Linked DNA regions of Elephas maximus indicus. The protein of the gene in region 1 interacts with the protein of each later gene in a pairwise test. Links are inferred from orthologs where the notes say so. Each region holds a gene or a part of one and is shown in the gene's direction. Other genes may lie near its edges. The genes, in order: ABI2, cone-rod homeobox protein, TRAF3IP1 and CCDC102B.

Evidence for each region.
Region 2: the proteins of ABI2 (region 1) and cone-rod homeobox protein interact in binary tests that used the Homo sapiens proteins (3 or more experiments, as listed by UniProt). The link is inferred for Elephas maximus indicus from reciprocal best matches to the Homo sapiens genes ABI2 and CRX.
Region 3: the proteins of ABI2 (region 1) and TRAF3IP1 interact in a two-hybrid assay, tested with the Homo sapiens proteins (2 studies listed by BioGRID and IntAct). The link is inferred for Elephas maximus indicus from reciprocal best matches to the Homo sapiens genes ABI2 and TRAF3IP1.
Region 4: the proteins of ABI2 (region 1) and CCDC102B interact in binary tests that used the Homo sapiens proteins (3 or more experiments, as listed by UniProt). The link is inferred for Elephas maximus indicus from reciprocal best matches to the Homo sapiens genes ABI2 and CCDC102B.

The regions. Positions count from the first base shown.
Region 1 is NC_064824.1:101,916,010-101,922,947, forward strand, and holds the start of ABI2 (abl interactor 2), read left to right. Parts: upstream 1-3,914; 5' UTR 3,915-4,149; coding exon 4,150-4,266; intron 4,267-6,938. UniProt on the Homo sapiens protein: Regulator of actin cytoskeleton dynamics underlying cell motility and adhesion. Functions as a component of the WAVE complex, which activates actin nucleating machinery Arp2/3 to drive lamellipodia formation.
Region 2 is NC_064829.1:101,073,870-101,080,738, reverse strand, and holds the start of cone-rod homeobox protein, read left to right. Parts: upstream 1-3,861; coding exon 3,862-3,961; intron 3,962-5,718; coding exon 5,719-5,870; intron 5,871-6,869. UniProt on the Homo sapiens protein: Transcription factor that binds and transactivates the sequence 5'-TAATC[CA]-3' which is found upstream of several photoreceptor-specific genes, including the opsin genes.
Region 3 is NC_064824.1:140,403,278-140,410,425, forward strand, and holds the start of TRAF3IP1 (TRAF3-interacting protein 1), read left to right. Parts: upstream 1-4,128; 5' UTR 4,129-4,155; coding exon 4,156-4,278; intron 4,279-7,148.
Region 4 is NC_064829.1:76,615,120-76,622,741, forward strand, and holds the start of CCDC102B (coiled-coil domain-containing protein 102B), read left to right. Parts: upstream 1-4,620; 5' UTR 4,621-4,676; intron 4,677-5,464; coding exon of another isoform or gene 5,465-5,510; exon of another isoform or gene 5,511-5,941; intron 5,942-7,622. Other genes in the region: protein disulfide-isomerase TMX3, read right to left, coding at 4,405-4,459, 5,465-5,510. UniProt on the Homo sapiens protein: During interphase, forms fibers at the proximal ends of centrioles to maintain centrosome cohesion. During mitosis, dissociates from the centrosome following phosphorylation to allow centrosome separation. Contributes to CROCC/rootletin filament formation.

The DNA.
Region 1 (6,938 bases):
TAGCCAAGGGCAAACGATTTGGACCACCCGTGGACCTAGAAATGTGTACAAATAATATGAAAATATCACTGATTATGATTTTTCTTATTTGGGGTAAGAATGGGAACTCAATTAATCATGCAATTGTTTGAATGAAAACTCTGCATTTCCCCTGAGTACTGTGTAATATCTAACAGAGAACTTAATTACATAAAAAGGAATTGTGTTAAATTTCATTGTGTTTGTGAGTGTATTACTTTAAAATGTCATGAAAGAGCTCTAAAATAAGATTTGTTTCTAAAACTTCCTTTGTTCCACTCTCCCATTTACTAGCCATGTAGCCTTAGGCAATCACTTAACTTTTCTGAGTTTCATATTTCCTCATTGGTAAAATGTTGGGGTAGGACCTAGATTTTTCTAAGGTACCCTCCAACTTGAACATGCCATAATTCTATAATATACGATGAGGAGCAATTGAAGAAATGGGTTCTGTTAAGCCCTAAAAAGAAAAGAAAAAAAATAATGAATGGCTTCAAGTATCTAAGTATGCCTTTGATCTTTACAGTTAAAATAAAGAGAAGTTTGATTTGTCATGTTACAATGCAAAAGAAAAACGTTTTAAATTATCAAACCAGTGTGGAACCGCTAACTCCATGACTTTTAAGCAGGTTTGGTAAATTTCTAACTTCTTTTGTTGTTTTGTGCCCTCAGTCAATTCAGCCCCATAGCAACCCTATAGGACAGTGTAGAACTGCCCCAAAGAATTTCCAAAGCTGTAATTTTACGGAAGCAGATTGCCCCATCTTTTTTCCAAGGAGCGGCTGGTGTGTTTGAACTGCTGACCTTTCTGTTAGCAGCCGTGTGCTTAACCACTGCACCACCAGGGCTCCTTTAATCCTCATTTTTTGGGACTGTAAAATATGGGGATAATAAAACCTACTTTTTAATATTTAAGAGTTAATTTATGTAAAATGTTGAATTAATCCTGGCACATAGTAGGAATTAAGCAAGTTACCTGCTTTTTTTCTCTTTCTCTACAACTGTTAGTCTTTAGTACTTGAGAGGGCCAAAACGATATACAATTTATGGATTTTGTTTATTAATTAAATAACTTAGCAAGAGTAGTACAATAGCAACACAGAACCTAAAATAGTGTCCTTTTTGCCAGGGTTATTGATGATAATGATTGAAACAGAGAATGAAGGTAAACTGGAAAAAGTTTTTACAGTTTTGTGGAATATCATGTAATTTAAATGTAAATGGAACTACCAACTACTCAGTTGCCCAAGCCAGACACCTGTCTACCAGCATGGATTTATCCTTTAGCTTCCACATGGAATCATTCACTAACCCCTTATGATTTTACCTCAAATATTTCTCTTATTCCACCCACTTCTTTCATCACCCTCCCTGAAGATCACCATCATTTCTTACCAGGATTGCCCCTAGAGTCTGCCTTTAGCAATACTTTCCTGGTCCTTTCTCCATAATGCATCCATGCTAAATTTACTTGATGAATGAATAAACGAACATTCTGAGTTTTCCAAGATCAGAGGAAGTCATTCCGTGTATAATGGTTATACTATAATTTGATTTTTGTTTGGCCTGTTTTGAGCCTGAACCTAGCAGTGCTTGTTTTTAAATAGTAGCTTTGTGGTTAGCAAAAAATAGTTACTTAACCAGTTAAATGAGAAAAGATGAGTTCCTGGATGGTGCAAATGGTTAATGAGCTCTGCTGCTAACTGATTATGTGGGAGATTTGATTTCCATTCTTGGTGGAAATTCCCCGCTGCCAGCAACTAGAATCATAGACCTTCAGATGGAGAAGGGCAGTTTCATTGGCATCTCCTGGGTTCATTGGCATCACCTGGGAACTTATACTAGCTGCTGTCAAGCTAATTCTAACTCATGGTGACTGCACGTATGTCAAAGAACTGTGCCCCATGAGGTTTTCAATGGCTGATTTTTTTGAAGTAGATCGTTGGCCTTTCTGGGTGGATATGAACCTCCAACCTCTCACTGAGTAGCTGAGTACTTTAACCATTTGCACCACGCAGGAACTTCCAGTGGACTTGTTAAAAATATAAATTACTGGGCCAGGCCAAATGATCAGAAATTCTGGGGGTGGAGCCCATCAATCTGTGTTTTAACAAGCTTTCTAGGTGATTCTTATGCATGCTCAAATTTGGTAACTACTGACCTGAGTTTGTTTTTTTCAGCTAAGAAAACTAAGGTTCAAAGAAGTCACAAATTAGAAGAAGTATACACCAGCTGCTCCTTGGAAGCCCTATGGGGCAGTTCTACTCTCTCCTTGTAGGGCTGCTGAGTTAGAATCTTAGAGTGGGCTGCCTTGCTCTCCCAGTGATTCCCAGGGTGATGAATCATCCCTCAGGGAAATCTGTTTGTTGGGCTAATTGATAATCAGTTAAAAAAATTTTTTTTTTTATTTGAAAGGATGCTAGGTGGGAATAAGTGTAGTAAGGGAAAAGTCTGCCTATAATTTAACCCACCTTGTAGGCTTCTTGGAAACCCTGGTGGCGTAGTGGTTAAGTGCTACAGCTGGTAACCCCAGGATCGTCAGTTCAAATCCGCCAGGTGCTCCTTGGAAACTCTATGGGGCAGTTCTACTCTGCCCTATAGGGTCACTATGAGTCAGAATCCACTCCACGGCACTGGGTTTGGTCTCGATTTTGTGGGCTTCTTACAGTTCAACGAGAAAGAAAAATGACTGTAGGAGGGCCAAGAGATCAAAAGAGCAAGAACAAGAGCTGAAATAATGGATCCTGTTCTAAACTACAAATGCCTAAAATGGTACACCTGGAGTCAACCTTGACTTTCCCCAGTACAAATAAAAGTCACAGACTTAATATCTCAGCAGTTGTCAGGAGTTTTAGTTATTGAAGAATGACATTCTGAAGGCTACTTAGATTTAGGGAAAAAAAGATATATATAAGTTGAATACCTGGAGAAGAAGAACAGAGTGATGTAACAACTCTGCAAAATCAAAATTATCTACAATTTTTGTAGCACTTCGCTTTTCAAGGTGCTTTCACATAAACTTTTATTTTATCCATGTAACAGCCCTGTAAGGAAGAAAATTAGTACCAGCAAAACCGTTTTCAGAATTTGAAGTACTGAATTCTGGAAGAAAAAGACAGCGACGTTCACAGAACCAGGGAGATGACAGAACAGGCTGTCAGTGAGGAAGAGAACCATGGAAGAGGGCAAGCACAAAAAGCTGAGCTCCGTGTGCTGTCACACAGTAGGGAGAGCAACTAGGGTCACACAGCAATGTGCGTATAAGTTTTTGTAGGAGAAACTGACTTGAATTGTAAACTTTTACTTAGGGCAAAAAAAAAAAAAAAAAAGCTGAGCCCCAGGGGACGGGCAAAGGAAGACAGCTCTGGTGGTCAAGTAAGTGCAGTAAAACCGAGAGTACAGGAGATCTGGGATGAAGAAGCTGGAATTTACTTATCCGTACCAAAACGGATGAGCTTTAAGATGAAGAGAAAAATGAAAACTGAGGCGGCACTTAAAGCTGCACGGAAGTTTTGTGAGTTTGATCCCAGCCCTGAGAAGATGTGATCTTTCGCGGAGGATGGACTCCTCGCCCTTCAATCAGCAGCAGAGAAAAGCCTCGATCTGCACAGGGATCCGGCCCCCAGGGTGAGAATAACGCCGAAAGTCGTGGAAGACGCCGGCGGGATGACAGCGGAGCAGGATAGCGCCTACTTGACCGGCTAACAAAGGCGTCCGAGCGGACTTCCCCGGCAGCGGAACTAGCGGGGGGCCGAAGGGTTAACCGCGCGCCCGGCTCCCGCGCGTATCCCGGCCCCCACCCCGCCGTCGCTAGGAGACGCCGGAAGTGGGGGAGGGGCAGGCGGTGCGGCCGAGGGTGGGAATCTTTTTCGGGCTCCCGGGGGCGGAGGGAGGGGAGCGCGCGTGCGCGTGCCCGGCCGGCCGTCGCCGCGGTGACCGTTCTCGCGGTCCGTCGGCTCGCGCCCCGCCCCCGTCCACGCCGCCCCCTCCCCTGTCGCGCGCGGGGGGTGTTTCTCGCTCCGGCGGGTTGCCGCTGCCGCCTGTGCTCCTCCGCTGCCAGCCTTGGGTTTCCCTGGCGCTGCCGCCGCGGCCACTTCTGCGGTCTGTATGAGGTGAGAGGAGGATGTGAAGATGGCGGAGCTGCAGATGCTGCTGGAGGAGGAAATCCCGGGGGGCCGCCGGGCCCTCTTCGACAGTTACACGAATCTGGAACGGGTGGCCGATTACTGCGAGAACAACTACATCCAGGTGCGACGCATCCCCCGGGCGGGGCCGTCGGGCCTCGGCGGTGAGGGGCGTGCGGAGGACCCCCTGGGAGGGGGCCGCGTTCCCGGGGTCGTCGGGAGCGGGCGGAGGCCGCCGCGGGAGAGCTGGCCGGGCTGAGCCCCTGACGGGGGGGTGCAGGGTGAAGACTGGGACAGGGGATGGAGAGTGGGTGGGAATCCTCGGCAGGAGGAGATTGTGGCTTTTAAAACATTTTTAAAAACCGTGAATCAGTCCTCGGCGCGGTGCGTGTGTCGTGTCCCCGCCTCCTCGCTTCTCCTGCCCTCATCCGCCCCCGCACTCGGTGCCGGTCTGTGTTCGGGATGGCAGGGGAGGCGGAGAGTGGCATTTTCTATTTGCCAAAATTCTGCTCCCCCACGTAGGGAGGCTGTGGAGGGGAATGATAGGTCACCCCCAACCCTCAAGCACTGGAGGATTTTTAAGGGGCTGTGTTGCTGCAAAGTAAAATACTTCGGTTTTCTATTCATGTGAATGCCTCAGAAGACCATTTTCCCCCTTTAGGTCTAACGGGGATACGGTAGAAGAGCAGTTGTTTCTTGTTGGAAATTATTGCCATTTTTCTCCTTATGGGAAAGGGAAGCTGCGTGATAATGAGCTGCTCTCCCCCCCGCCCCCCCGTCCCGTTAGATTGGTAATTTTCCTGAGAGAAAAAGGATTGTGATTGTTTTTTTAGAGAGAATTAGGAAAATGAACCTCATGGTTTAGTATTCCCGTGATTGTTGGTTTGGCACAGGGACTCATAGTGGTAACGGTGCGTGTGTGGCATGTGTGTGTATGTATGTATGTGTATGGGGGGGTGGAGGAGAGTGGCTATTGGGTGAGATGAGATCCAGCTGCTCCAGGATAAAGCAGAAGATTCTGGATTTGGGAAAAAAAAAAGTCCTTTAAAAATTATTTGAAAGACTAGCAGGATAAAACGCACAGTTTGCAAATTCAGCATCTTTTGTTTCCTTGATGATTTATTCTGAATTACAGGTTCTGCGTCCATTTTTTTTTTCCTTCCCGTTTAAATTCTCTTGGGATAAAGGTGGAAATGGAAACTGTTAAATTGTTTCTTCACTCTGACCTTTTTTTCTTGCTTCCACCTCCATCTCTCCAGGCATCTTTCTTAACATCAGCTATACTGGGAAGCATTCTTAAGTCTTAGAGTAAATTAAAAAACAAACCCAAGTGTTAAAATATATAAGTTCATAAGTTTTGTAAGGAGGGTATGGTTAATGGTGGTAGTGTGAGATTTTACTTGATTAGACATATACTGAACTTTGTTTTATGTTGTAGGGAATATTTCTGTTGGAGAATGAACCAGGCATAATACAAGCTTTTTCCCTCCAACGAGGCAGTTGAAAATATGTCTAATTGGAAAAGGAAGGCTGTGTCTTGGGTCAAAGATTAATACAAAAAATACAAATGTCTGTATTGGCAGGGTACTTCACTGATACTGAGTGAGGTCAGAGAGATTCAAAAGTTTAGTTTCTCATTTTTTCACTAAATGTATTTGAATGTCTTTGTGCTCAGCACTGTGCCCACGGAGTGCCTAAAAAAGATCCTTTGCCATCTAGTTGGTTCACACTTACGACGACCTCATGTATTACAGGGTAGAACTGCTGCATAGGGTTTTCTTGGCGATCATCTTTACTGAAGCATATCACCAGGAGTTTTTTTGAAACACCATTGGGTGGGCTCAGACTACCAATGTTTAGGTTAGTAGTGGAGCACAAACAGCTTGTGCTACCGAGGGGTCTTATACTTAGTGCCTACAGAGTTTTATAGTCTAGTTTTTAGGAGAGGCTGATGTGTGAGCAAATTAATACCATATAGGTCTGTGACGGCTGGGGTAGTTCTGTGAACCAATGGGACAGAGTAGAATTGCCCAGTAGGGTTTCCAAGGAGCGGCTGGTGGATTTGAACTTTGACGTTTTGGTTAGCAGCCATAGCTTTTAACCACTGCACCAGCAGGGCTGCATTTTGATTTGGTGATTTATACTCTGTAATAGACTGCAGGTGGAAAGAAAAACTGGCAGAAGCTATGCTAGTCTCAGAAATTCACAATCTGTAGGAAAGGCAAAACCTAAAGGATTGAAGTGTTAATTGCATTGCCTTGTGCTCCGTATTATGGGAAAGAGTTGTAGTCAAAAGAGAAATTGAGGATGGAAAAGTGATTGGGTGTGGTTATCACCAGTAAGTAATAAAAGAAACAGATTTGTATCTCTTACGATTGCTACATAAAGATAAAAGTAAATGGATTAATAAAGCCAAAAGGGTACAGGCATCAGTGATTGTCTTCTTTTTATATATTTTTTGTAGCTGAAAAAGAGGACCATTACTGCCACCATTATCTGTCTTAGCAATAGGACTCAAAAATTAGTGTGGTGGTGTTTTTAAACCCAGTGTATAAATATTGATGTGATAGAAATGGATTTGGGTTTTTAAAATCCCTAATTTCTACAGTTTAGCATTTGAAGTAGACTTTACACTTTTACTTCTTAGATTACCATCTGTTTTAGGATTCAGTAGCTATATTATTGACGCCCTCTCTCACAATGACAGCTCTTACTTGGTTTGTTTGTCGTATAGTTGATAAATAGAACATGTTGCGGTGAATTTGTGCTGATCCAGCAGCACATTTGGCTGGCTTT
Region 2 (6,869 bases), on another chromosome or scaffold:
CATAGCCTCAGAAGTCACACTCTTGTCGTTCCTGAAATATCCTGTAGGTTACACAGGTCAGCCCTAATCAGCGTGGGAGGATATCACACAAGGGCGTGGATACCAGGAGGCAAGGATTATTGGCAGCCATCTTGAAGATAAGGAATGCTGATGGTGCAATGATTAAGTGCTCGGTTGCTAACTGAAATGTGGCTCTGTGGAAGAAAGGCCTGGTGATCTGTTTCCATAAAGGTTACAGCCAAGAAAACCCCATGGAGCTCAATTCCACTCTGTAACACACAGGGTCGCTATGAGTTGGAATTGACCGATGGCAACTAATACCACCACCACCATGCTTTAGGAACTGGGGATATAGCAAGAACAAAGACACAGCATCTCTGTTTTTGTGGAATTGTATTTCTAGGTTTCAGTCAGAGAACTGACAATGAAGAAGGAAACATCAGACAGTATTAAGAATGCTGAGGAAAATGAATCGGGGTGATGTGATAATGAATGGGTTTACTTACACCAGGGCATGGTAGACACTCAAAAAACATTTACTGGATGAACAGGAGAAACTCAATTGATGATAAATAAAAAATATCCGTCAAGAGAAGGATGAAAAGAACAGGGATGAGAAGGAATGGAGGGAACAGGTATTAAAATAGATGCCATCCATTTTTTATTCATTTACTTATTTTTCTATTATTTTATTGGGAGTGTTGGGAATACCGCAGGAAATGAGATAAGCCCAGTCCCTGGTCTCAGGTAGCTGACAGAGTGGAATGAAACGGACAGGTAAACAAACATAGAAATACATTATTTTTTTTTAATTTATTTTATTTGTTCTTGAGAATATACACAGCAGACCATACACCACCTCAACAATTTCTACTTGTACAGTTCAGTGACATTGATCACATTCTTTGAGTTGCACAACCATTCTCATCCTCCTTTTTCGAATTGTTCCTCCCCACCATTAACATAAACTCACTGTCCCCTAAGCTTCCTATCTAACCTTTCAAGTTGCCGTTGTCAATTTGATCCCATATAGTAGATGGTTCTTAAAAGAACACAATGCTCAAGGCAGACATTCTTTGCTAGTTAAGCTAAGCTATTGTTTGGTTTTAAGAAGACTTCAGGGGATATTTTTGGTCTAAGGTTTAAAGATTATCTCAGGGAGAAATATGTTATATATAACATACGCCATGTCCTGAAGGACAGGGGAGAGAAAATGTGTGCGTGTGTGTGTGTGTGTGTGTGTGTGTGTGCGGTCTCCAGTTTAGAGTATTGCATGGCTCCCTGGGAAATTATGTCTCAGCTGAGACCTGGAGGATGTGGAGGAGAAAGGGGGCTTAGAGTGGGAAAGAGTCATTCCTGATCTGTTGTTGTCAACTTGTGTCGTGAGTGTCATGCATGTCAGAGTAGAACTGTGCTTCATAGAGTTTTCAAGGCTGTGACCTTTCAGAAGCAGATGGCCAGGCCTGTTTTCCAAGGTGCCTCTGGGTGGGTTTGAATCGCCAACCTTTCAGCTAGTTGAGCGCTTAACCTTTCGTGCTTAACTGTTGGTAGAGCTATGTACTAGAGATCTTTTTAAATCAGTTCATGCCGAACAACCTTATTCTTTTTATTGGCTTCACAGCATCCCTTTGCATAGATGTGCCATAATGTACTTAGCTATTTCCTTTTTGGGTGGATATATAGGTTGCCTCCACATTTTGTCAATTATAAATATGTTTCATTAGAAATCCTAGTATTTACAAACCTCTTTTTGCAAATAACAATGACAAAAATAATCGCCAAGAGTTATATGTTGTTGTTGGGTGCCATCTATCTAGATGATTCTGACTCAGGGCAACCCCATGTGACAGAGAAGAACTGCCCCGAAGTGTCTCCTAGGCTGTAATCTTTATGGGAGCAGATGGCCAGGTCTTTTCTCCCGTGAAGCCTCTGGGTGGGTTTGAACCATCAGCCGTTTGATTAGGAGTCGAGCACTTAACTGTTTCGCCACCAGGGCGTCTAACAGTTGTAGGGCACTTGCTTTGTGCATCGGGTGCTATTTTATGCACCTTAAACATTGGATCCTCACAACAACCTAGAAATGCTAGATTCATCCCCATTTCACAGTGAGGACACTGAGGAACATCCTGGAGGCGAATTGCCAGAACAAATGAAAGATGGTGCTTTACTTTAATAAAAGCTCCCAGTATGTTCCAATTTCCTCTGCCACGCACCCGATAAAGGAGTGGAAAGTCAATACTGCTGTTGTCGTTAGCTGCTGTTGAGTCAGCCCCTGACTCATGGTGACCCTGTATGTTACAGAGCAGAACTGCTCCCTAGGGTTTCCTAGGCTGTAATCTTTATGGAAGTGGCCTTTCTTCCATGGAGCCGCTGGGTGGGGGGTTGAAGCACTAACCTTTGGGTTAGGCACCCATCTCAAACTGCTTGTGCACAGTGCACAAGTGCAACTATTTTGATCTTTGCCCAACTCATAGGTCAAAAACGGTCCCTTTGCTGTCGTTTTAATGTGCCTTTCCCTTACAGTGACCAGCCATCACGGTTTGTTGTGGGCTGTTCCAGTGTTAGCGCTGAAATCCCCACGTCATAGGAAGCCCCTTGTCCCAGTGGTCACCCTCGTCTCCTGGTGATGAGTGAGGCTGAATATCTTCTCCTGTGGTCATAAGGCAGAAAAGATCTTGGAGAAAGAAGTGGCAGAATCAGGCTTTTTTTTAAGGGTAATGTACACACAAGGAGCCCTGGTGGCGCAGCGGTTAAGCACTCAGTTGCTAATTGAAAGGTTGTCCGTTTGAACTCACCCACTGGCTCTGAGGGAGAAAGACTTGGTGATCTGCTCCTGTAAAGGTTAAAACCAAACCAAACCCGTTGCTGTCGAGTCAGTTCGATTCTATTCCGACTCCTAGTGACCCCATAGGACAGGGTAGAACTGCCCCGTAGGGTTTCCAAGGAGTGGCTGGTGGATTCGAACTACTGACCTTTTGGTTAGCGGTGGGTCTCTTAACCACTGCGCCACCACAGCTCACCTAAAAATAACAGCCTAGGGGGCAGTTCTACTGTCACATGGGGTCTATGAATCACAACCGACTCCATGGCATTCAACAACAACCAAGTACACACTGATTCCGTGTTTGTGACTCTGCCTCCTCGCTAACATTTTTTTGTAACCCCAAAGTCAATAGTTACGCTGCTTTTCAGGTCACTTGCGGACGTGCGCGTGCGCATGCACAGGGCAGAGGAAACTGGGTGGCTTGATGCGCACCTTTGCAATTGAGGTTGAACAAGGCTGGTTCTGTTTCCGCTATTTCAGCGTTCCAGGTGACTTTATAAACCGTACGCATAAAACCAAACCCGTTGCCGCGGAGTCAGCTCTGCACAGGACAACGGCAGTACTTTATTTCCAAGCAAAGTGACTGTAGGGTTACTGTGAGTCAGAATCGACTCGAGGGCAACGGGTTTGGTTTGGCTTGGTTTACAAAGTGAGCACTCAGTTATCTGTGGCGTTATCCTTTAACTGCTTTTTGTATTACGTTGAACTATATGGAATTGGTATTTCTACAGGCTAAACGTGAGCAATGTGGTGTTTCAACCGCATATGTCATGGGGTTGCCATGAAGCAGAAGAAACTCGCCAGCAGCTTGTCTTTTTTGGATGATGTCTTCAGCTCTCTGCTGAAACCTCAGTGAGGCTTCAATAGCCGGAAACACAGAGCTGTTTTGCAGTTGAGGAAATTAAGGCACAGAGAGGCGAAATCGATTGCTCAAGGTCATATAACTAAGCAGAGACTCAGGTCATGGGCAAGCGTTTGAGCTTCCCTGTTCTTCTCTTGCAGGCCCCCTGACCTGGAGCCCAGCATCCTGGAAGATCATGATGGCGTATATGAACCCGGGGCCCCACTATTCCGTCAACACCTTGGCCCTGGGTGGTCCCAGTGTGGACTTGATGCACCAGGCTGTGTCCTACCCAAGTGAGTACAGTCATCCAGGCCACCCCAGGCTGACCCCACCTCTTGGGGGGGGTTCTTGGGGGTCTCTTGCTCTCTTTGATGAGCACCTGCAGGGGTGACATCAAGGCCATACACCAGCTGTATGTGTCTGTCTGCAAATGCAAAACAATACCACGTGTCACTTAGAAGTCGTTAGTTGCTGTTGAGTTGATTGCTACTGATGGCAACCCCAGGTGTGCAGACTAGAACTGCTCCATAGGATTTTCAAGGCCTTTTGGAAGCAGATCACGTCTGTCTTCCAAAGCACCTCTGAGTGGGTTTGAACTGCCAACTTTTAAGCTAGCAGTTGATCGCTTAACTGTTCGCATCCCCCAGTGCTGTCAAGTTGACTGAGACTCATGATGACCTTACATACAACAGAATGAAATGTTGCCCGGTCCCACATCATACTCACGATCGACAGCATATTCGAGTCCACCGTTGTGACTATTGTCCCAGTCCTTCTCACTGAGGGGCTCCTTCACCCTCATTGGCTGTAGATTTCACCAAACATGATGTCCTCCTCCAGTGATTGATCCCTCCTGATGATGTGTCCAAAGCAAGCCAGTCAGACAATATTCTGTTATGATCCAGGAAGTTTTCACTGGTTAATATTCAGAAGGAGATCACCAGGCCCTTCTTCCTAGCCTGTCTTAGTCTGGCAGCTCCATAGAAACCTGTCCACCATAGGTGACTCTGCCGGTATTTGAAATACTGGTGACATAGCTTCCAGCATCATAGAAACACACAAGCCACCACAGTAAGACAAACTGACAGATGGATTGTTGACAATTCACTGCTTAGGGATGTGGAAAAGCATAAGGACATTCACAGAAATTTCGGATGGCGGCTCCCTCTAGGGTGGGGGTGGGGACAGCAGCCTGGATGGAGAATCAAGAAGAATTTATATCTGTTAGCAAAGCAGCAAGGAGCTCAAACATAGCAACGATTGCGAGGATGGCGCAGGACCGGGCAGTGTTTTGTTCTGTTGTACACAGGGTTGCTATGGGTCAGAACTGACTCGACGGCACCTAACAACAGCAGCAGCAGCAGTGCTTTATTTCTAAGCCCAGTAAGCACTCGGTCATTTGTGGCATTATTCTTATACCTGCTTTTTGTATTATGTTGAACTACACGGAATCGCCATTCTTATGAACTAAAATTGGTTGAACATCAGCAATGTCATATTTCAGCTGCGCAGTACTAAGATGTTGTTGTTGTGTGCTGTTCAGCTGATTCTGACTCATAGCGACCTTATAGGACAGAGGAGAACTGCCCCATAGGGTTTCCAAGGCTGTGATCTTTATGGAAGCAGAATGCCGCATCTTTCTCCCTCGGAGCTGCTGGGTGGGTTCGAACCACAACCATTCCTTCGTTTAGCAGCCGAGTGCTTAACTGTTGCACCACCAGGGCTCTCTGCATAAGTTTTAGTGCATAATAAATTTCAGAAGGGGAAAGAAAAACTCACGTGCCTCCTTACACGGCTAACACCAATTTCTCTCAGGATGAGGCCTGAACCCCAAAATGAAAAAAGTGTACCCCATTTTCTGGGGGACAAAATGAGGTCTAGAAGGACAGGGAATGGGAGCATCCATAGTCTGGACAGATAGACACCCAGAAAAGGCTTCTTGAGTCCCCACCCGACCTCACAGCCTCACCCCAGCTGTCCTGGCACCCATAGAGGACGAGAGTGGGAGGCTGGGTTGCCTGAGCGCTTCATGTTCCTGTTCCCACCTCAGGCGCCCCAAGGAAGCAACGGCGGGAGCGGACCACCTTTACCAGGAGCCAACTGGAGGAGTTAGAGGCCCTGTTTGCCAAGACCCAGTATCCGGATGTGTATGCCCGTGAGGAGGTGGCTCTGAAGATCAACCTGCCTGAGTCCAGGGTTCAGGTGGGATGTTCTGGTCCCTGGGCTCCTCCTGGACCATATAAGACTTCCATGGACCTTTCTGGTACCCAGGGGAGGGCGGAGGGAGGGGTCATAGAGTAACAGCCAACATTATGAAGTGGCCTAAAGCCTCCTCCCATTATTTTACTGATCTCTCTTGCCACTCTCACCCTTTCTCATTTTACTCCAGCCACACTGACCCCTGGATCTTCCTCTAATGTGCCTTCTGAACATTCGCCTGCCTTAGGACCTTTGCACTCTCTGTTCCTGCTATCTGAAATGCTTATCCCTCAGATAACCACATGGCTTGCCCTATCACTTTGTTTAAGTCTTTGTTCAAGGGCTGTTTTATTAATGAAACCTATACAATACTGACTATAGGGTCGCTATGAGTCGGGATCAACTCAACGCCAATGGGTTAGGTTTTTTTTGGTTATACTGACTATTGCACGTAAAATTGCAACCTTCTACCACTGCAGTCCTTCTGCTCCCCCTTATCCTGCTCAGTGGTTTCCTTCCATAATATTTATCACCTCCAAAAATACAATATGATTTACTTACCTACTGTTTATTTATAATTTGTCTCCCCCAACTAGAATGTCAGTTCCACTGAGGTATCCACAAAGGAGCAGAAGATGGTTAACAATGTCTATAGTTTATTAAAGGATTCCTGGTGGCACAGTGCTGAAAGGTTAGCAGTTTGAACCCACCAGCTGCTCTGTGGGAGAAAGGTGTGGCAATCTTCTCCCATAAAGATTTACAGCCTTGGAAACCCTATGGGACAGTTCTACTTTGTCCAGTAGGGTCGCTATGAGTCGGAATCAACTCAGTGGCAATAGGTTTTTTTTTTTTTTCATAGTTTATTAATTCATGCTTATTAACTGATTGAATGCATGCACAGATGGATGGATGTATGGATATTATGTATGTATGGGTAGATAAATGTATGTATGTATGACTGATGGATGGATAGATGGATATATGTGTGACTGAATGGATGAA
Region 3 (7,148 bases), about 38 Mb from region 1:
TTAACATCTTACTAGTTTCCTCATGAATTCAATGAATTGAATAAAATCTTTCACAAGTGGTCATTTTATATTTGCAGGAGAGTCCTGACTCTACCTTTTGGAAAATTACACTTCGATCATTTTGGAGTTTCCCCTGAGATGCCCAGCTGTACTCCCCTGCCTAGCCAAGTAACCTGTGGTGCCAGAGAAGTGCACCTCGTGGGCCATTTAAACCTGGGCACCTCTTGGTTCCTGGAGAGAACCCAAGCAGCAAAAGAACTTTAACTTCACTGATTCTCTTTTTTTTTCCTACTGCTTTTGTGTTTTTTGTTTTTATTTCTGTTTCACTCCTGGCCAATAAGTCATTTATCATTGGTGGCACTATGATGGGGATTTGGTCCTGTGATCTGACCATTTAGTGTTATTTGCTGTGTAGATGGTGGAGACCAATCTTCTGTGGGTGACAAACGGCAGAGAATCCACATTGCTGCTCTTGTTGGTTTGCCTGCTTGTCTATTTGTGAGTCAAATCAATGAAGATTTCATGCCCACTGGGTGGGAGGACAGCTATTTGAGATCTGGACTGCTGGGTTTTTGTGTTTATTTTTGATCTATGGATGAAGCTGAAGGGCTGAAGTTATAAGTCCTCTATGTGTCCGTGTGTCTGTTCAGAAAGGTTGTTCTCTCTCATGTGAGTATAAAACAAAATATTTCCCTACATTTGTTGTTGCTGTCATTAGGTGTTGTTGAGTCGCATTGGACTCATAGCGACCCTGTGCACAACAGAAGGAAACGTCGCACGATCCTGCGCCACCCTCACAATCGTTGTTATGCTTGAGCCCATTGTTGCAGCTACTGTGTCAATCCATCTCCTGAGGGTCTTCTCTTTGTCACTGACCCTCTACTTTACCAAGCATGATGTCCTTCTCCAGGGACTGGTCCCTCCTGATAACACGTTCAAAGTACGTAAGACAAAGTCTCCTCATCCTTGCTTGAATCTGGTGCCTGGAAGGCCCAGTTTGAGACAGCACTGCTAGCAGCAGAGCCCTAGAACACATTGCATTGGAGGTAAGCTTGGACCATGGTCACTTTTGGGCCGGCAGCTAAACCTGCACCTGCCCCACCCTCAGCTAGACAGACAGTGAGAGTGAGCTCGGGGCCCCTGTCTTCTTGCACTGTTGGCACCTGAGGCAAAGTCTGGTGCAGGTGTGTGCGTGATTGGTGGACCCAGGTCACATGACATGCCCCGGTGCAAGGCTGGCTGGGACAATAATCCTTTCCATTCTCAGCTCCCAAAATGGGAAGCAGTCTCACCCCCTCAAGACTCATAAAATAGACATTTTCCAGTCATAGAATGGGGCTTAGGGGCTGCGTGGGCAGGGACAGTATCAGCTATAGCCAAGCTATAGCCTCCTGAGAGCTGGTTGCTGAAGCTACGAGAACATTTCTCAGGCTTTAAATACCCTGGCCTTTATAATAACAACAACAATAAAATTTGCTCTGTGTGCCTGGGGTCAGAGTGGAGACTGGTCAACAGGAGTGTGGTTAGGGGCTCCCTGAAAACATCTGGGGTTCCTCTGCACCTCCCGGTGCGGGCTCACTGGGTCCCCACCTTAGCAGTGGGCTGGGCCTGCGTTGGTGGGCAAACAAGCGGGTCCCCCGGCTCCGCTTACCTGTTTGCAGCATTTACAATGGCTCTGTCGTCAAAGTCTGGATGCCCCGCAAGGTGCTTCGTGAGGCAGAACTTACACCCCTCCCTGCAAGAGAAGCTGCTACAAGCACAGCTTAAAAATTTTTGGGAAAATGACATAGATTGCTCAAAGGCCTTTTGTGGGGAGAGGATGGGATCAAAACCCCCAACCCTTTTCTGCAAGGTGTGAAGTATGGAAATCCCCAGGGAAGGGCCTGGTGGGAGGAAGGGCAGGGCATCTCCCTAGGCTTGAATAATAACTTCCAGTGTGATTGTTTGCTGTGTGTGTTTCCTCCAGCCTACGCCAGACAGAAAGGGAGATTCAGGGATGGCCACACAGACACTCGAAGGGCGGCGACCTGATTTGTACCCCAAAGCTGGATGCAGCAGGCACAGGAGATGGTTCCCACCTGTGGGAGAAATTGGCTCCGAGGGGCTTCCAGGCCCCAGTGAACAGGCGTTTGTTTGCTGCCACAGCTGGGGTGGCCAGATGTAGCAAACAAAAGCACAAGATGCCCAGTTAAGCTTGAAGTTCAAATAAAGAAGGAATAAATTTTTAGTATAAATCCTATTATCAAGTAGATTCCAACTTATAGCGACCCTGTAGGTCAGAGTAGAACTGCCCAATAGAATTTCAGGTAATTTTTATAGAAGCAGACTGCCACAGCTTTCTCTCCTGGAGCCACCGGTGGATTTGAACCACTGACCTTTTGGTTAAAGCCCTCAATTAGCAGCTGAGCCGCCAGGGCTCCAAATTTTTAGTATAAGTATATCCTAAACAGGATATACTTATACTAACAAATTATTTGATGTTTGTCTGGGTTTTCAGTTTAACCAGTTGTCCCGTATTTTCTCTGGCAACCCTAGCAGTAACTCTCTGCTGCTCTTGCGGGTCCAGGGCTGGCGAGGTGGCCACTCTTTCCCCGTGCCTGGTCCCTGCTGCCCAGCGTTCCCTGAAGCTGACCCATATCCTGGGCCCTGGGCAGATGAGGAGCTCAGGGTTGGGCTAAGCCAGTCTCCTCAGGCCTTTGTCTCTGGGAATGTTTGCCTCCCTGTCGGGTGGGCTTGGGGAGGCAAGGCCTGGAGACAAGGCTTCGTGGGGCTCTCTCTCCCTGTCTGAGTCATGGCCATGGTTGTTTCATGCATTCAGTCAGAAACTGTTGATTTCCAAAGCCTCCCCTGCCAGGCTTTTATTTGTCAAACACATTCTGTCTGTGTTTTTCTACAGTCATCCAGCTGATTCTCTTTTTTATGAATAACTTGTTTTTATATTCTCAGCCTTTTTCCTCAGTGCTTTCATGGTTCTTTGAGGAGCTTGGGAGGTAATTTAGGCTAGGCAGCCCTCCCAGCCAGCCCCTCCCTCTGGCCCCCACTGAGTACTGGTTCCGGGTGTCTTTCTTGCATCTGGGGTCCTTGGCTGCCTCTTCTCAGCCTTGCCTGTGCCCTCTTGTGTGGAGGAGTGGACTCACGTAGGACGACGCAGTGGACAGCAGGGCCTGGAGCGAATCTGTGCTCCCAGAGGATGGTCCACTCCCTGGTCAATCCCCGTCAGTCTCTCCGAGGGGTCTGGTGCTCTGCTCTTTTGTCCTGGATGCTGCTAGTGTCTCTCAGACACCTTGATGCCTGGATACGCCTCAGCTGCGGGTCTCTGATAGCCATGAGTGCCAAAGTGGGCAGTCAGGCCTGTGCCCTCGGTGCACAGCAGGGCCTCCATGGGGTCTCCCTGCCTAGGTCATTCCCTTTGCACCATCCTGGGTGGAGTCCCTGGGTGGTGCAAACGTTAAGCGCTCAGCTGCTAACTGGAAGGTTGGAGGTTGGAGTTCCCCCAGTGGTGTCTCTGAAGAAAGGCCTGGCGATCTCCTTCTGAAGAGTCGGCCATTGAAAGCCCTAGAGAGCACAGTTCTACTCTGACACACACACGGGGTCCCCATGGGTTGGAGTCAGCTTGATGGTAACTGGTTTGATTTCGATCCTGGGGGGTAGGTAAGGCAGACAGTCACATTATCGTCCCTGTTTTACGGAAACAAATGGCGTCTCAGAGAAAGCAAGTTACCTGTCCGAAAAGCCACAGTAAGTGACAGATGGACGAGGGCATTTTTCTTCCGTGTCTTTTGGGATACTTCAGTCCAGCCCCTCCCATGAACCTGCCTACGAGCGCCCGTGCCTTTTGTGAGACAGACAACACGGATCCCGGAGAACACGCTGTTCCCGGACAGGCCCCCCTGGCGGCTTCCCCGCGCGGGTCCAGCGGGCGGGGCGGCGGCGCGTCGGTTGCTAAGGCCGCGCTGCCCTAGCGACGGAGGGCGCGACGCGCACGCGCAGTGGCGGCCGCCGTGCACTGTGGGACGGAAGCCGGGCGGCGCGGCGAGGCGGGCCGGGAGCGGGGCCGGGAGCGGGGCCTGGGCCGGGAGCGCGGCCGGGGCGGCGGGCCGGGGCCGGGGGCCGGGAGCGGGGCTCGGGCCGGGCGGGCCTCGCGCGGGCGCCGCCATGAACGCGGCGGTGGTGAGGCGGACGCAGGACGCGCTGGGCAAGGTGATCCGGAGGCCGCCGCTGACGGAGAAGCTGCTGAGCAAGCCCCCGTTCCGCTACCTGCACGACATCATCACGGAGGTGGGCGCCGGGTCGGGGTCGGGGTCGGGGTGCGGATCCGGGTAGGGGTCGGGGTGCGGGGTGCGGGGCAGGGCCGGGGTGCGGACCGGGGTCGGGGTGCGGATCCGGGGTCGGGGGGCTGGGGTGGGGGGTGCGGGTCGGGGTCGGGGTGCGGATCCGGGTAGGGGTCGGGGTGCGGGGTGCGGGGCAGGGCCGGGGTGCGGACCGGGGTCGGGGTGCGGATCCGGGGTCGGGGGGCTGGGGTGGGGGGTGCGGGTCGGGGTCGGGGTGCGGACCGGGGTGGGGGATGCGGGCCGGGGTCAGCGTGCTGGCCGGGGTCGGGGTGCAGGCCGGGGTCAGCGTGCTGGCCGGGATCGGGTGCGGACTGGGAGCCGGGGGGCTGGGGTGGGGGTGCGGGTCGGAGTCGATGCCGGGGCGCGGCCAGGGGTCGGGTCGGGCCTCGGGTGCGGACCGGAGTGCAGTTTGCGGCCGGGGATCGGCGCCTGGGCTGGGGGTCGAGGTCAGGGCGAGTGGTTGGGGTTGGAGTCAGGGCCGAGGTTGCGGGCTGGAGATGCGAGTCGGGGCTCGGCCCGGGGCTGGGTGGCAGCGGGCGCCTGGCGTTGCTCTGCGGGGCTCCTGCCCGCGGAGACCGGCCTTTGGCCTGGCCTGCAGCGGGGGGCGGCCACTGGGCCTAAGCTGTTGTTAGCCTTCTGCGAGAGTTGCTGCCCTCGCCCCTGCTCTCCTCTTACCCATCCTCCCGGCCCCTTGGGGAGCACTCTGCTTTCCTGCCTACCGGTGTCTAGTTAGGGCTGGTCCTCCACGCTTGTCTCGGTGATTCCCCTCCCCTGCTCGGGAGGGGCCTGCTGCCTTCCTCCTGGGGTCCTGCAAGGCCTTGCACGTGGAAAGTGCTCAGTAAACCTTGAGAAAATGGAGTTCTTTTTCTAGGTGCCCGTCGACAGTGCAAGGCAAAGCAGTCACCACATTTTGCAAGCTTAGTAAATACCTGCTGGTGAATTTATTGGAGGTGGTCGTAGGGAGGCCTGAAAGGAAAAACTAGTGGAGGAATTTACTGCTTGGTGATAAGTCTGCTTTAAGTAGATACTGGCTGGCTGTGTACCTTTTCGTGCTGTGGTTGTCATCATGGTTAGTTGCCTTGAAGTTGGCTCCGACTCGTGGCAACCTCGTGTACAACACAATAGAATGTTGCCTGGTCCTGTGCCATCTTCGTGACCAATGGTATGTATGTCCAAGTCCACTGTTGAGTATTTTAAGTGCCTTCCAGCTCAGGGGGCTCATCTTCCAGCATTGTATCAGACAATATTTTGTTGTGATCTACAGGATTTTCTTTGTCTAATTTCGGACGTAGGTGGCCAGGCCTTTCTTCCTAGTCTTAGTCTGGAGGTTCTGCTGAAACCTGTCCACCGTGGGTGACCCTGCTAGTATTTAAAACACTGGTGGCATAGCTTCCAGCATCATAGCAATGCACAAGCCACTGCAGTACAACAAACTGACAGGTGGGGGTGGTTTTCCCCTCTTGATTGTCAGTTCCTGAACCACGGAGACTGGAACTTCTCTGTTGGCATATCCTGGGTGAGCTGCCACGAGTAAGGTACAGTACACAGAGGCTGTGCAGCAAACATTGGCTCGTTGAATGGAATTGGTCAAGGCTCCTAGTAACCCTTGGGGGAGGGTGTATGTGGGGGCTGGCAGCGCCTGTTTCCAGGGTGGACTTGTGGGCAGACATTGGACGAGGGTGTGCTCCTTGGGAATCAGGAGTCAGGTTGTACTTGGGGGCTTTTAGCCCTTATCCCCGGGCCTGTTGGTCCTCTCGCTTTTCTTCTCCCTCACTCCCACTGCTTGGTCACCTTACTCTTCCCCAGACTTTGCATTGCCATCTCGCCTTTGCTGATCACGTGTGCCTCCCAGGAGTGCCTCATTTAAAAACCCTACAGTGCCTAAAACCTCTCTCAGATCCTAACCAACCCCAAGTGCTGCCTGCATTGGTCTCCTCCTCTGCTCAGCCGGTGCTTCTCTCCCAGCCTGTCCTGCACTTTGCGTTGAGAGTTGGGTGGGAGCATGCTGTGTCCCGGTTGCCCTGTGTCGCCCTCAGCCGAGGGGCAGCAAGTAGGGGTGAGCCAGGTGTGAGCCGGCAGCACGGACAATACTGCGGGTGCCTCTGGTCTACCCTTTCATCCTCCGTGTTGGTCTGTCTCCCCAACAAAAATGTAGCCCCGAAGAAGGGCGGCAGAGGGCCTGTCAGGGCTGCCACGTGCTCAGTACACTGCGGGTTCCTGAACCTCTCTGGTGTGACTGGAGCATCCTAATGGGAAACGAGAGCAGAAGAATTCCGAGAAGAATTGACTGGTTGGCGAGGTGGACACGTTGTGTGGAAGAAGCAAGGTGTTCTGAATCAGGACTGACTGGTCTGCTTTGTCTTCTACGTGCTCGGTAGAGTAGAGGGTCAGCGAAAAAGAGGAAGACCCTCGATGAGATGGCTTGACACAGCGGCTGCAACAGTGGGCTCAAGCATAACAATTGTGATCATGGCACAGGACCAGGCAGTGTTTTGTTCTGTGGTACATAGGTTGCTATGAGTTGGAACTGTCTTGATGGCACCTAACAACCACAACAACGAGGTGGGGACGAGTGTTTGCACTCCACTGCTAACCTAAAGGTTAGCAGTTTGAACCCACCTAGCAATACCATGGAAGAAAGGCCTGGCGATCTGCTTCCATTGAGATTACAGCCAAGAAAATCCTGTGGAGCACAGTTCTACTCTGTCACCATGAGTCAGAACTGACTCGATGGCAACGGGTTTTTTTTTTTTTTTTTTTAAGTATCGAAAACGATTTCTCTACTTGGGTAAAAATATATATGCTAATTGCTACCTC
Region 4 (7,622 bases), on another chromosome or scaffold:
AGTAAGTTAAAATACAGCAGAGCTCCTTTGTTGGGTTAGCCAGAGTAGTAATCCATACTGCATGAATCTGCCCATCATGCTGAGTTTCCTTTACCACACTCAGTAAGGGGCAGGTCTTTCTCAGGTTAACTGGCAGCTGCACCCCATTTCACCCCAGTACAAATTAATCTAGCAGAGCCATCAGTGAACCAGGCCCATGTGTGGTCTGGAAGGTCTCTATATCTGGGTCCCTAATGGGCCAGTGGAGGCAGCAGATCCTTGGTCAATACGCCTGGGACGGGTAGGGGCACTCCTGAGACTGGAAAGGATTCCTGAACTGCCACAATGCAGTAATCCAAGGCCTCTGCTCAGACTGACTTGATTGGGATTTCTGGTTGTATGACTACTTCATGATCATGGCTCATGTTCTCAGCATCCACTAAGAGGCCAATAATTGTTTGTTAAAAGGTGTATATCTTTCAGTCAACTCCAGGAACTCAGAGGTCCAAAAGCCCAATGGGCACTGCTGGCCTGTGGCAATGATTTTCTGCCACAGGTTCCAATCTGAGAAGCTGCTGAAACCTATAAGTCAAACAGCAAAAGTGGATGGGTGCGACCCAAAGGAAGGGGATCCAGGTGGGTGTGTTGGAGAGAACTCCTGGTGCCCTGTTGGTCAGGCCCCACTTAAAGGTAACAGCCCAGTAGGTGGATGCCAGTAGCTGAATAGGTCCAGAAATCGCTGTGCCTCTTTTTTATTTTTTAGGGCAGAGAGAGCCAAAAGTGTGACAATCTTCTCTGGAACGAGTCGTTGTGACTCCATTATGCCCAGGAATTTCACCTGCATACTAGAGGCCCTTGTCCCTTGCCTGTGTTAATGGCCCAGCTGTGTTACTGCATGTGTGTCATCAGGACCTCCAGCCCTTATCGGGTGATGACTGTCTGGGTCCACCAGGAAGATGTCATCAAGGCTAGTACTCCCACTGGGAGTGAGACTTTTTCCAATCATGGACTACCCATTGCTGGCAGACAGCTGGGAAATTCAGGTAGTTTTGTGGAAGAACCCTTTAATGCGGATTGCAACCCATTCTGCAATGAAGACAAATCAAGCCTGTTCATACCCATGGAGAGGTTATGCTAAAAAGGCAATTGTGATGTCAACTGCTGAATACCAAGTTCTCTCAGCTTGGGTGACAGCCTCTGTGACAATCACAATATCAGGTATCACTGGTGCCAAGGGTGGGACTACAGCACTGAGTGCCTATAATCAATGGAAAGAGTCCAGGCACCCAAGGCCTTTTGCACAAGCCAGACAGGCTAGGCTTCCTTAAGCTCAGCAATGAGGAAGGTTCTATCTTTTTCTCCTCCAGGTGGCTGATACTATTTTTAGGAGACAACTGCACTGGACATTGGTTTTGTTGTTGTTAGTTGCCATTGAGTTGATTCTGATTCATGGTGACCCCATGTGTGCAGAGTAGAACCATTCCATATAGTTTCCAAAGCTGTGACCTTTCAGAAACACACTGCCAAGTCTGTCTTCTAAGGCGCCTCTGTGGGGGCTAGTAATTGAGCTAGCAGTAAAGCTAGTAGTCGAGCAGTTAACCATGTGTACCGCCCAGGTGCCAGGGGGACTACAGTCTTCCACATGCCCCACTAAGATGGCCCTACTACAATAATTCCCATCAGGGCTTAAGAGTGAAGGTGAGTAGTTCTGCGCCCTGACAATACATCAATACCAGTAATATATTCAGCAGAGTGGCCAATAAACGCAGGTATGCAAGAACCTGAAGGTTACTTGGGCTTAGGCCAGGGTATCAGTGGCAGTGGCCTCAAAACCTGATGGTATGATCTGTTTCCCTCTCATGCTGGTGCCAGGAGTTGCAGTGATCACACTCACCTGTGTACCAGTATCCAAAAGGCCCAAGAACTGCAATTTTCTCTCAGAACTATGATCTTGGCATAAGACCTCTGGTGCCCCTTGAGGACAAAGGAACCTCCAGCTAACCCCTAGTCTTGTGTATTTTTTAAAGATGAGAGGCCCGGTGTCTTAGTTTATCTAGTGCTTCTGTAACAGAAATACCACAAGTGAATGGTATTAACAGAAATTTATTCCCTCACAGTTTAGGAGGCTAGAAGTCTCAAATCAGGGTGCTGGCTCTAGGAAAAGGCTTTCTCTCTCTGTCCACTGTGGGAGAAGGTCCTCATCAATTTTCCCCTGGGTTTAGGAGTTTCTCAGTGCTGGGACCCCAGGTCCAAAGGATGTGCTCCACTCCCAGTACTTCTTTCTTGGTGGTAGGAGTTCCCTCCTCTCTGTTTCCTTCTCTCTCCATTTATCTCTTGTAAGGTAAAGCTGTGACTCAAGCAAGGGTGGTACATCCCACCTTGATCCTCATTAATATAACCTAATCATGCCTCATTAACATAGTAGACAACTCTACTCCAAAATGGGACCATAACCATAAGCATAAAACCCGTAACCCACTGCCGTCAAGTCGATTCCGACTCATAGCAACCCTACAGGTCAGAGTAGAACTGCCCTATAGAGTTTCCAAGGAGCGCCTGGTGGATTCGAACTGCTGACCTTTTGATTAGCAGCCACAGCACTTAACCACCATGCTACCAGGGTTTCCCCACAGGCTAAGATTTACAACACATAATTACATCAGATCACAAAATGAAGGATAACCACATGATACCGGGAACCACGGTCTGGCCAAGCTGACAAGAATTTTTGGGAGGACACAATTCAATTCATGACACCCAAGTAAAGTTGGCAGGGGTCTCCAACTCCACTGGGGACAACACTTGTATTAGCCACAAGGGACTATCAGTGGGCAGATACTAATGAAGCTGCCTGTCAGACCTCCATATCAAAGTACTTGGCCAGTAGTTCCTTGGCAGAAAGCCTATCAATCTCCTCCTTTGAGACCCCTATTTTCAAGTAACTAGACTGAGTCTTTTCAGGAAGGCCCTTGGCCGGGCTGCCCAGGAAAAGGCACCTGGTTACCACTCTTCTGTTGGTCGATCTTTGCTATCTTGGCAGTAGCCATTTTTTCCACGTCTGGGAATGTCAGTTAAGATTCAGATTGTATCATGGACCAAATGACCTGACCTCATGAGGAGGTTTAACTGGGCCAGGTAACCAGAGAGAGTAGTACGGAAAAACCTAGAAATCTGGGTCAGGTTAACAGTCTCATGACCCAATTATTCCCAATCCCTCATTATAGACCCAACGGACCACCAGGGTGGTTCACAGGGACACTATAGTCTGAGAGGGTGGCCCAGACATGTTTTTCAGTGGCAGGAAACTCTTCATAGGTGGGACAGACCTATCAGAGCCCAAACAGTACCCAGCTGCAGAAGGAGAGTCTCGATGTTCATGCCCTCTCACTAGCCACCTCCTCCTTAGGCAAACTAAGGCTTCCTGTCAGTGCATCTGCAAAGAGGTCTGTAATGACATGCCCTACAAGGCACCACTCCCTCACTAAGTTTAACAAGATCAACTTCTTCATTATGGAAGCCAACTAACCGAGGCTCTAAGGTCTCTTCAGGCTGCTGGGCAAAGGGATCCTGACAGGCCCTACATTCTTTTTTACTGAAGGCCTGAGATTCAATAACTTGCTGTGTTGAAGAAGGTCTGTTGGCACCAGGACGTGCTGGGAGCTAACAGCAACCACTGGACGCAATTTTGCACGCAGAGCACCCGAGTAAGTATGCAGCGCAGATGGGGAATCCTCTTGCTGCCGAGGAGCCACAAGCAAAAGGCTTCTCCTCTTCATGAACTGGGCGGGCGGGGTGGGGGGGGGGGCCTGAGGGTGGAAGGTCAAAGTGAAGGGAAGTAACAAGTAACAAATGGAGGTGCCTGGGCTAAGAATGCAGATATGCATATGAGTATGGCTGGCAATTATGGGGGGAGGGGTCCTGAGAGCCTGACTACAACTCCCTCCAGACACCACAGGGCACCAGCTGTGCAACTCGTCTGGTGTGGGCAGCGCAGCTTCTCCCATGAGGCCTGCCAGTAACTGCTTATGGTCAGGCCTGAAAGAGTACATACAGGATTTTGGCTTGGAGCTAGGCTCCCCAGCTACTATAAGCAAGGTCTTGGGACTAATGCTGTGGGGGTAAAAGATATAGTATGTCCCAAATTCCGGCACTCACTCAGGTGCTATAGAATGGTAATATAGAATATTGAAAGGTCTGCCACGTTTTTGACCTTGTAAATATCAGTAAAACTCTTTTGAGCATAACCCTATCTCATATATAAACAGCACTTAGAACTCCTGGGATAAAATCGGTAATATATGAGCATAGTGTCTATTATTTTTATTAAGATTAGAATTAGATTATTAAGATGTGAACATGTAAATATTCAGGTTAACAACAGAATTAGAAATTAAAATACTATTGAAACAAAATACGTATACTCACGAGTCATCTAAATCTGGCACCACACTCTTACCAAAAGCCATGTCAAGAAAAATAACTGAAAAACAGAAAGAAGAGACTAAATGTATACTTCTGATTTATCATTTCGTTCACACTTGACGCTTAGTCATCTATAAAACGTTTTTTTTTTTTTTTTTGATGTTCTGACCAGAAACTCTATCACTGATTCATCCCGGGGTACAAGTGAAGGAAAACCACAAGGAGTTCATTTGTTTGATAGATATTTATTCTGCAACGTAATTTCCCTGTGACAGGTAAGTCCTACGTATGATAGTAAATTCAAAATATAAAAGCTCTTTTTCAACATATCTTTCCTCTGATCCTATTTTTCCATTTTAGCATTCCACCTGTTCGGAGCAGAGACAGAAATTGTTCTATACTTCTCCCCTTTCCTTAGTACTTCTAACTTCAAGTGCCATCCAAAATATTATTATTTTTTTAATATTTAGATAGAAACAGAATTGAGCTACCACTCTAGTACTTATGACAGAGCAGTGCCTGGCACATAGTGGAAAGGCAACAAATGGTTGCTGAGTAAGTGAACGCAGGGAGGCCGGCAGGAAGAGGCCCAAAAGGGTCACCACACCGCTGTCGCCGTCACTGCACAATTCCAGCGGTCTGATAGTGATCTGTCCTTGACCATCCTTCCCTTTGCCCATGGATGGTGAAAACCCTCCAAATACGACAACACTTGGCCCCTAAAAAGCCAAAGCAAAATGTGGCCACACGTTGGGAAAGTGTCACCTGCTCGCCTGTCTGAGAAGCCAGGGCGACGGTACCCCTGCCACAAAAGACGAAGACGAGGACAGGGAATCTCCTGGGGGACAGCGCATCTTTTGGGGCCTGGCACCGGGTATGCACTGCAATGCCGAGTGGGTGGAGGACCCTAAGGTGTCAGGACGCCGCAGGACTGCGCGGGGTCCGAAGGGGGAGGCCGGGAGCCCGCAGACGTCCCCGCGGACCCCGCAGGTAACCCCCAGTCCAGAGGCCACCCCCGGCGCAGGGGTGATCCCCGGCTCTCCTGTCTCGCGCGCGGCCATACCTGTGGCGCAGAGGCGCAAGGCGGTCGCACTGCTCAGAGCTGCCATGCTCGCCGCAGTAGCGACTCCGCAGTGGCCGGGACAGACGCAGGCGCCGGCCGCCGCTCTCCGGAAGGGGAAGCGGGCCCCTTCGAACGCGGAATGAAGCCGGGCACGGAAGGCGGGGGCGGGGCAACCCGGCCTCTGTTCTCTCCCGGACCCCGCCGGCCCTGCCTCTGAGCATGCGCGGACCGCGGGGGCGGGGCGGGCGAGCCTCTGCTCCCTAGTGGACCCGGCCAGCCTCTCCTCTGGGCTTGCGCGGGGGGCGGGGCGGGGCTGGCGGGCCTCCGTTCTCGCCCCCTCTGGGCTTGGTTTAGCGGGCTGCAATCGCGAGATGACGTGCACGCGCAGTCGCCTTATCGCGGAGCGTCTGTGCCCTTGGCCGCGTCTGGGGGCTATGGGAACCTGGTGGCGCGGGCTTCTTGCGGTTTGGGCGAAGAGGTGTGTGTGTGTGTGAAGGGGAGACGAAAAACTGAAATACAAATTCTTAAATTAATACTAAGCTTTGTACTGAGGATGAGGTAGGCTTCGAAAACGCAGTTTGAGGTTGAATCTCGCCTGCTCATTTACCTGCTACACCTGTTCAGTGAGCCCACCAGTGCGTTGGTTGGTGGATCACACTCGTGAAGAGAGGCACGCCTTAGTGTGGGGAGAAAAACGGGCCCTGGATCACCGGGTTCTGTGACACTGCCTACATTTCCAAAACGTGTTTGGAAGCTGTTTGAACCTGTTTCCAAAATTGGGCATTTTTTAAGTTCTTTTAATAAATTTTTGCTAACTAAAGGAGTCCGTTTTTTAAAATTTGTTTCTCTTGAAAACTGAAAAAAATGGCCTGTATCATTTGTAATGATTTTTTTCCTCTATATTTTCTTTTTTTTAATAATATTTTATTATGGTTTAGGTGAAAGTTTACACAGCAAATTAGGTTCCCATGTAACAATTTTTATACAAGTTGTTTGGTGACAGTGGTTATAATTTTCATAATATGTCGGCATTCTCATTATTTCCATTCTGTTTGTTTTGTTTCCATTGATCCAGCTTCCCTTCCCCTCCTTGCCTTGTCATCTTTGCTTTTGGGTAAATGTCGACCATTTAGTCTCGTATAGTTGATTGCTCGAGGAAGCACATTATACATGCATAATATTGTTTTTTTTATTAAGCCAATCTATTATTTGGCTGAAAGGTGACCTTCAGAAATAGCTTCAGTTCCAAGTTCAAAGGGTATCTTAGGCCAGCAGTCCCAGGGATTCCTCTAATCCCTTTTGGTCCAGTAAGTATGGCCTTTTTTTAGGAATTTGAATTTTGTTCTGAATTGTTTTCTGATTCTGTCTCAGACCTCTTATGTCCCTGGTCAGAATGGTCGGTAGTAGTAGGCGGAGACCACCTAGTTCTTCTGGTCTCTGATTAAAAGAGGCTGTGGTTCCTGTGGGCTGTTAGTCCTATGGACTAGTTTCTTCTTTGAGCCTTTGGTTTCCTTCATTCTCTTTTGCTCCATTCAAGTTGAGACCGATAGTTGTATTTTAGATGGCTGCTCACAAGCGTTTAAGAGCCCAGGCACTATTCACCAAACTAGGATGTAGAACATTATTTTTATGAACTATGTTATGCCAATTGACTGATTTGTCCCACTAGACTATGGTCCTAAGTCTTTTAACCAGGGCTTCTTACAAGTTCCCAGGCCATGCTAATGCTCCTGGTTAGGGACCAATTATGAGAATCACTAGCAGAGCAGTGGTTCTCAAGATTTATTATATGAGTATTACCTGGGGTTCTTGTTAAAATGTAGATTCTGATTCAGTATACCTGGGGTGGAAATGTAAATTCTCAGTAGGGTTCAAACTGGAATGAACCAGTTTGAAGCCTTGCTTTTAACCCAGTAAACCAATCCCACAAGTTGTTTGGATATGCTCAGGAAGCTTCCATAACTGTGTCCCTTATGTGCTTCATTATATAAAAAAAAAAAAAAATCCAGCACGCACAAATGCCTACAGATACTCCTATACATGCAGGTACGTTTACTCACATATGCCTTTCTATACACATATTTGCATACGTATCTGCCTATGTAACCACACACAGTTTTTTTGATGTTATTGTTGTTGTGAACTTGTATATATTAGA